Linked DNA regions of Pelodiscus sinensis. The protein of the gene in region 2 interacts with the protein of the main gene of each other region in a pairwise test. Links are inferred from orthologs where the notes say so. Each region holds a gene or a part of one and is shown on either strand. Other genes may lie near its edges.

Region 1 (3,744 bases), on a different chromosome or scaffold from region 2:
AATAGTGGAAGAAAATATTTCTTCCACTATTTGATCTGAGGAAGTGGGTCTGGCCACGAAGCTCATCATATAATAAACCATCTTATTAGTCTTTAAAGTGCTACATAGTCCTGTATTTTGTTTCAGCTACACCAGACTAACACGGCTACATTTCTATCACTTAGGAATTCAGACTGCCACTATGCCAAGCTTCTTGTTTTGGGTAGAGTGTTTTAGTTTTCAAATTATTATTATATTATTGCAAAAGGTAAATAATTATAGTGGTTGAATATTTCTGTATTAGAGAGGGTATTGTCAGTTGGGTATTTCCACAAAAGATCAAGATGTTGATCATAGTAGTTAGATCAGCAGTCCCCAACACGGTGCCCGCGGGTGCCATAGCAGTTAGATCATCAGTCCCCAACACCATACCCGCGGGGGCATTTGTGTGCACCCGCCAAGTGCTCGGGGCTGGCCTGGCCCATGGCACATGCATGGTGCCAGAGCCGGCCTCGGGCACACGGCGAGAGCCGACCCCGGGAGCGCTGCGGATTGGCCGCCCGCGCTCTGGGCGCATGGCGCTTGGGGGGGGGGGGGGGAGCGCCGGCCCTGGGCACGCGGCGCTTGGGGTGGGTGGGGAGCGCCAACCCCGGGCGCGCAAGTGCCCCCGCCCTCTGGCACCTGGCGGGCGAACGGCCACGCCCCCTGGTACCCGGCAACCTCCAATGGTTGGGGACCACTGAGTTAGATGTCATATAACAGTGGTTTTTTATATAAATTTTTAAAGGTGGCTAATTTTCTAGCATCTGATCAGGTTGACCACCCTATTAATTCTACTATTATTTTTGTTTTCTATACTACCACCAGTAATTGTGATGTAAGGAAAGTGTATTAATGATGTAGCAAATACACTTGAACCTCTTCAATCTTGCAACTCTGGGAAACATGGTATGTCAGTTTAGGGTATTTTTCAGAACACGGAGGGCAGGAGGGGGCTAGAGGTGGGGCGCTTACCTGGTGCCCTGCTCCTGGTGGCACACATGGGTTCATGCCCCTTACCCTGCCAGTACAGGAGTCTCCATAGAAGCTTCTCACTGTCCTGCCATTCCCCTAGCTAGGGGTAGAGGATTCTCAGCACATAGAACCACCACCTCCTCCCGACTGCAGGGTCCTACCACAGTTGTTCCCAGATCAGGAACACCCAGAGGTTCAAGTGTAATGTACGCCAAAAATCTATGTTAAAATAATGTTAAAGTTGCAAAGTTGCTACTTGCTGCAAAGTTGGAAAATGCTAGAATTCAGCCCCCTTCTGCACATGCATTTTGATAGTCTTTAATTACCAGCCTAAACTCCCTCACACTCCTCCCACCAACTTCTGAATCTCATCTGATCTCAGTCTAAATTGCCCTCACACATCACCTTGATCTAGTCACCTTACCTAGTCAATTTCAATTTATTCCGTAGCTACTTGCCCAGCCAGTCCCCATCCATCCCACTGCTCCGAAACCCTATACCTCTCTCAGTTACTACCCTTCACCAAACAGTCCCCCCTGCCACCCACCACAGCTCCAGGCTCCTTAACCCGCTCTACGCCTTCTCCCTGCCCACCTAGATCTGGTTCTGCCAACCCGCCAGATTGGAGGCAGGCTGCTCTTGCTCCAGGCTGGTGAACACAGGCCGAGGGAACGCTGACAGCCCGGGAGTTCCAGTATTTAACCGTGAAACTCACAGGTCTCCACCGAGCACGTATGAACGGAATTATTGCCCCAAACTTGAAACCTTCCCAGATTTGTACGCTCCCCTTCTGCCCCGGAACCAGCACCGGGCCCACCCCTGCCACGGGGCCAAATTCCAAACCCGGAGGCGCTAGCGCTTCCCAGCAAAGCAGAAAGACGTTTCCTTCCCCAGGCTCGACCCAGGCTCCCTCCCCCCGGGCCGCTTACTCACCGCGGCGCCGCTGTCCGGGGCGGGCGGCTCCCCCTCGCCGCGGGACTGCCCCGCCTCCGCCGCTTTGAGTCGCTGGCGGCGGCAGCGGCCGGGGCTGGGCCCCGCCCGCGGCTCTTGCCCCCCATGACGAAGGCGGCGGCGGCGGCCCTGGTCTGTGAGGTAATTGAGCGGGTCAGCCATGACAGCCGCGGCCCGGCCACCCGCTCGCTGCACAAGGAGACGGCCGGGCCCTGGGCAAGACGGAAACCCCGCAAGGGCTGCTGGGACCGGAAACGGCTTGGAGCTCGGAACTCCACGACTTCCAGCGCCTCCCGCGCAGAACGCTGACCACGTGACCGCCATCTTAGGTGCGGGCGGCATCGTCCCAGAGATACTTCACTGCCCGCCAATCCAGCGCGCTTCGCTTCCGGGCCCAACCAACGATAGCGGTTGGGAGCACGTGCCCGTCCAGCTCCGTCTCCTTGGTGATCTCCCTTGGCCCCGCCCCTACGCGGTTCTTGCTGCCAGCGCCATGGCGCCGTTAAGCCACCGCGCCCGACACAGGCTTTACTCGCTGGTAGGCGCCTGCGTCGCCCCCGGCCCGGCCCCGCCTGGGGGAACGGACGCGGCTCGCGCCTGAACCGCCCCCCCCTCCAACGCCAAGGACCCGGAGAGCCCGGCCCAGCTGGGCGGCCAGTCCCGTCTGCGGTTCCTGCCCGGAGCCACGAACCCCCCTGCTCGCGCGGGCCGCCCCCACCCGCAGCACCGCCCCCTCGCACCCGCCTTTCCCTAGTGTCGGGTGGGCGCCGCCACTCTTCCGCCGGGCCGGTGAAAATCGTCCTCATCGTGAGAAGGGTTTAAAGATCCGACCCCTGTTCACGGGCAGGTGCGCGTGCACCTGGGCAATGCACAGCGGCACCTTTCCCAACACTGAAGCAAAATGCAGGACAATGTAGCACTTTAAAGACTAACAAGATGGTTTATTAGATGATGAGCTTTTGTGGGCCAGACCCACTTCCTCAGATCAAATAGTGGGTCTGGCCCACGAAAGCTCCTAATCTAATAAACCATCTTGTTAGTCTTTAAAGTGCTACATTGTCCTGCATTTTGCTTCAACTACCCCAGACTAACACGGCTACATTTCTATCGCTTTCCCAACACTGTGTTTTCTTCTGACAGATTCTTCTCGCCATTGTATTACTCTCCTGGGGATACGTTATCTACGCATCAAGAATAGCAGCGCAGTGGCAACTTGAAAAGGATTATCCCACTCAATGGCTGAATTTGTAAAGGAAATATTAAAGACTGACAGCATCTGGATTTTCACAACTAAACACTGAAAACCAACTAGGAAGGCAGAAAATGACTTATTCCGGCATAACAATTTCAGATGTTATGACTTGACCCCATAATTCAACTTTGATAGGCTTAAAGAAAAATCAAACTTACACAATTAAGAGAATCCACAGAAATATGAGCAATTTATATAGTGAGACACTTTTTTAAATAAGCCAATTTAGAAAACGAATACCATACCAAGAAGCAGCCAAGGAAGAATTGTACACCAAGTATATGTTCTGTTGTCTCTTCTTTTACAGACTCAATGTCTTTGGTAAAGATTGTGCAATGTTTAAAATATAGTACATGTTTTAATCTATTGGTATGGCATTAGTTAAGGATGACAACATATTTTTTTCAGCTCACATCAATACTAGGGATGGAGAAGTAGTCGAACAGTTGACTACCCTGTAAGCTTAGACTTATTGGCTAGTCAAGTTGACTACTCGCAGTTCCCCCCATCTTGCTGCCTCTATGTATTTAAAGGCAGAGGTGCAGTGG
Region 2 (3,744 bases):
TCTGGAAAGAGGGAGGGAGCCCTGAGCTTTCCCATCTTCTCCGGTCCCAATTGCGATCTGACCCTTAAAATATTGATCACCTTTGTCAGATCCTTTTCGGAAACTCCCCTGCTCGCTCATCCTTTCACTCGCACGAAGCCAGCAGCAGCTGACAGCCAAGCATGTGGGGGTATAAATATTGAAATAAATGAGTCGGAGGGAGGGGGGAGGGAAGGAAAAAGAGAGTGTGTGTGTACGCGCGTGGAGGGGGGGGTGATCGGTGCTCCTGTGAGGGGCGCTGCTCTCCAGGAGCGGATGGGAGGGAAGGGGGGGGGGGGAGGCAAGATAATAGCATTAAAAACAACAACCAGCAGCAGCCCAACAACAACAGTGATTAGCTCCTACCCATCGCACAGGGGCTGGGAGGGGATTATCTGTCTCTCACCTGACTTCCTCCTCCACCGCGAGCCGGGGGGAGGCAGAGACACGCGCGCACACAAACCACTCTCCCCAACTCAGCCCCAAAACACACCGGCCAGAAGAAGGGGACCGAGCAAGCGCCAGACGCACACCCGGCTCCCGCGGCTGCGGCTCCCGGCTCCGCTCTACGCCGGCGCTCAGCCTCTCCCCGCCCTAGCCCGGCTCTGCCGCCACCGCGCACCCGGGGAGGGCAGCAGCAGCAGCAGCAGCAGCCGCCGCGGCTCAGCTCGGCTCCGGCACAGGCGCGAGCAGCGTCCGCCAGGGGGAGAGAGGCAGCGAGACACGGCGCACGGGTGCGGAGCCTCCGGCCGAGCTCCGCTCGCTCGCTGGAGCCTGCGCCCGGCGTCCTTCCCCGCCCAAGGGCTCCAGAGAGAGGAAGCCGGGCACACGCCGGCCCCGCGCTGGTACCTTGCTGCCGACCCCGGCTGCTCCTGAGGAGCTGCTCGGCAACGGGGGCGGGCGGGCGTGCGTGGCTCCCCCCCTCCGCCTCTCCGTCCTCTAGACGCCCACTCCCGATGGGGGAACAGACAACTTGAACTTCAGCGCGATTAACTTCGCCGCCGCCTGGGAAGCTGAAGGTGTCGCCCAGCCTCGCCCGCGGCGCTCTCATGAGTGAGTAGGTCTCTTTTCCTCCTTCTCCGGTTTCCCGCCCCCCCCCAGCGCGCCTCGGGTCTTTTATTAAGTCACGTTGTGGGTCGGAGCACTGCTCGGGAGCGTGGAGGGGAAGCCCTTCCCGAGCCGGGCTCCACACACCTGCTGCCTTGGCAGGGCTGCGTGCCATAAACGCGGGGTGTGCGTGGGGGCGGGGGGAGTCTTGCCTCGGCTCCGGCTGCTGAACCCCTGCGGAGGGGCAGAGCCGAAGTCACTGGCCCGGTAGCCCCCTTCCCCTAAAGGCAAGTTCCCTGAAAGTTTGGCAAACTTCCCCCCACGTTCCCCTGAGAACGCGCTGGGCTCGGGAGGTGCCAGCCGCCTTGGCGACAGGTTGCCTGGGTTTGGCGCGCTGCGAAGATGCATTTGTTAAACGTGCGTGGGCTGGGTTGTGTTGAGGGGCACTTGGCCGACGTGTTTAACCTGAAACGCAAAGTTGTTGAAGACCGTGTGTTGCGAGGCTTCATGGGGGAAGGGGGAGGAGAGAGGCGGAAAAGATCAACTTTGGCAGTGATCTCTGAGAGGGGAAGGTTTCTCCTCGCAGCACGCGTCGTGGCAGCTGGCGTGTCAGTGACCTTAGTGGTGAGGAAGCACAGTAAGCCCAGGTACGCTATCTCTTCTCCTCTGCACCTCCTTCCCCTGGCGTTCTCCATTTCAGATCTGGTTTGGTCCATGAAGAGGCAGCGAAGGGCCCACAGGGGAACAGGCACTTAGACAATCCCCCCTAAGTTGGTAGTTTTAAGTACGTTAGCCAAAGCGTCCCACCGAGATACTGCCAAAGTTTAAAAGACCCCAGAGCCTCATTTGAAACGACGTTTTGCAATCTATATAAGGTTCATTTAGTTCAAAGGAAAATAATTCAAATCAAGTATTTTATACCTTAGATATTTTTAAAAGTCCAACAGAAAACTTCCTCTAATAATCACATTTTTGGTGAAATCTTTGATTAGTTCTAGGGTGAAGAACCAATGACAGACACCTGCAAGTTTCCAAGTTTTATACTGCTAGTCCCAGAAATCTAAAGTGCTTAGGTTACTGACAGAGAAACCCTTATTATCCCATTGAAAACTTGTGTTAAAATATTTTACAACAGCTTTTCACCCAAAATGAAGAAAAAAATGGAAAAAGCCAATAATCAGTTTTATTCAGTCAAACCTAATGTAATTGTCCTATGGAAATAATTCACAATTTCAGATTCAACAGCTCTAAGGTTCTAGTAGTAGACAGTACTAGGGTTAGCAGCAGGATTTAGCAGCAGCCCTTTATTTCTACTTTATATCATTTGGTATAGTACATTAGTATATATTTGTCTGCTTCAGTATGCTGGCAAACATTAGCATTCAAGCTTACATTTTTGACAAATGTGCAGACAGGAATAGCATGAATAAGCATCTTAAATATTAACAACCTAAGCATCTGTTGTGAAACAAATTTAATATATTTACTCTGTTTTTCTCACATTGTTAGAAAAGGTTACAATAAGTGTAAAATTGTAATGTTAGTTAATACAGGGATTGGATTGGATATTTCCCTATCTCTTCAAGTCTTTCAAGCAATCACCAGATATAACGATATTAATTCTGGTGCATTATTTTATAAAGAAAGTTGAACTGTATGCATACTGTGTAAAGACTTGAATATAGTACAGTGGCTGTAATGTGCATCGTATACACTTACAGTGTTAATATTATGTATACACTTTATATACACATTTCCTATTTCAGATTTTAATATCTCCCTTATCAAGTGGAAATATTTTATACACAAATGTGTAAACATGTACAGTAAAAAGTGAATGTAAAAAGATAGCGTATGTATGCATACATATGTTTTGTGTATATACATATCAATTGATAGCCCACATACATTACAAGGCTCTATAACAAAAATAAAATCATTGTCTGCAGTTGTACCCCGTCCTGAATACCAACAGCTAATGTAAAAGAAACAACTGACTTCAAGGAATTCCTCTTTTCCCTGGAAAAACAGTAATCTAAGTAAAACAAGAACATAGAGGGAAGTCTCCAAAAAGCCTGTATAGTATTTTCTTTCTAGAATCAGTGCATTCCTCCTTTTCCCCACAAGTGCAAATGTGTAATAAATAATAGTTCTTTGTATGCAAAATGAGTTTACTGGGACAAAAATATTTAAGTGGAATGTTTTTTGTTCATGCATTTTTAAAAAGTTAGTTTCTTTTTTTATATTCTTTGTTCTTGAACTGTTAAATAGCTAAGTTACTCCACAAGCATTCCTCCTTGTCTTCTGTTCTTTTAACAAGACCTATCTAAGGATAAGTCCCCTTGATACTTATTTCTGAGAGAGAAATATAAAACAGGCAAAGTCAATCTGTGATTTGTTAATGGTACATGTTGATTTGCAGAGTAAGAAGAAAGAGAGAATCTCCCTAATTAGCCAAAGATTGTAATAATCATTTTTATCTGAACAGGTTACCGTTTGCAGTGTAGGCCCATAAGGTCACCTGATAAGCACCTGTCCCTGTATTATTATAGAGATCTTGTGGTTACAAATAGTACTAAACTAAATACAAGGTGCTGTCTTCAAAGCACCATAATTCTCTAATACAAAATTCCAAAGGGATGTAGGCAGGTGTGCCCTTTCAAACCACAGAAGTGTTTC

What was found.
Region 1: the proteins of SATB1 (region 2) and TOPORS interact in a two-hybrid assay, tested with the Homo sapiens proteins (2 studies listed by BioGRID and IntAct). The link is inferred for Pelodiscus sinensis from reciprocal best matches to the Homo sapiens genes SATB1 and TOPORS.

What each region holds. Positions count from the first base shown.
Region 1 is NC_134716.1:11,370,336-11,374,079, reverse strand, and holds the start of TOPORS (E3 ubiquitin-protein ligase Topors), read right to left. Parts: upstream 2,449-3,744; 5' UTR 2,287-2,448; coding exon 1,927-2,286; intron 1-1,926. UniProt on the Homo sapiens protein: Functions as an E3 ubiquitin-protein ligase and as an E3 SUMO1-protein ligase. Probable tumor suppressor involved in cell growth, cell proliferation and apoptosis that regulates p53/TP53 stability through ubiquitin-dependent degradation.
Region 2 is NC_134712.1:192,365,384-192,369,127, forward strand, and holds the start of SATB1 (DNA-binding protein SATB1), read left to right. Parts: upstream 1-936; 5' UTR 937-1,067; coding exon of another isoform or gene 1,068-1,071; intron 1,072-3,744. UniProt on the Homo sapiens protein: Crucial silencing factor contributing to the initiation of X inactivation mediated by Xist RNA that occurs during embryogenesis and in lymphoma.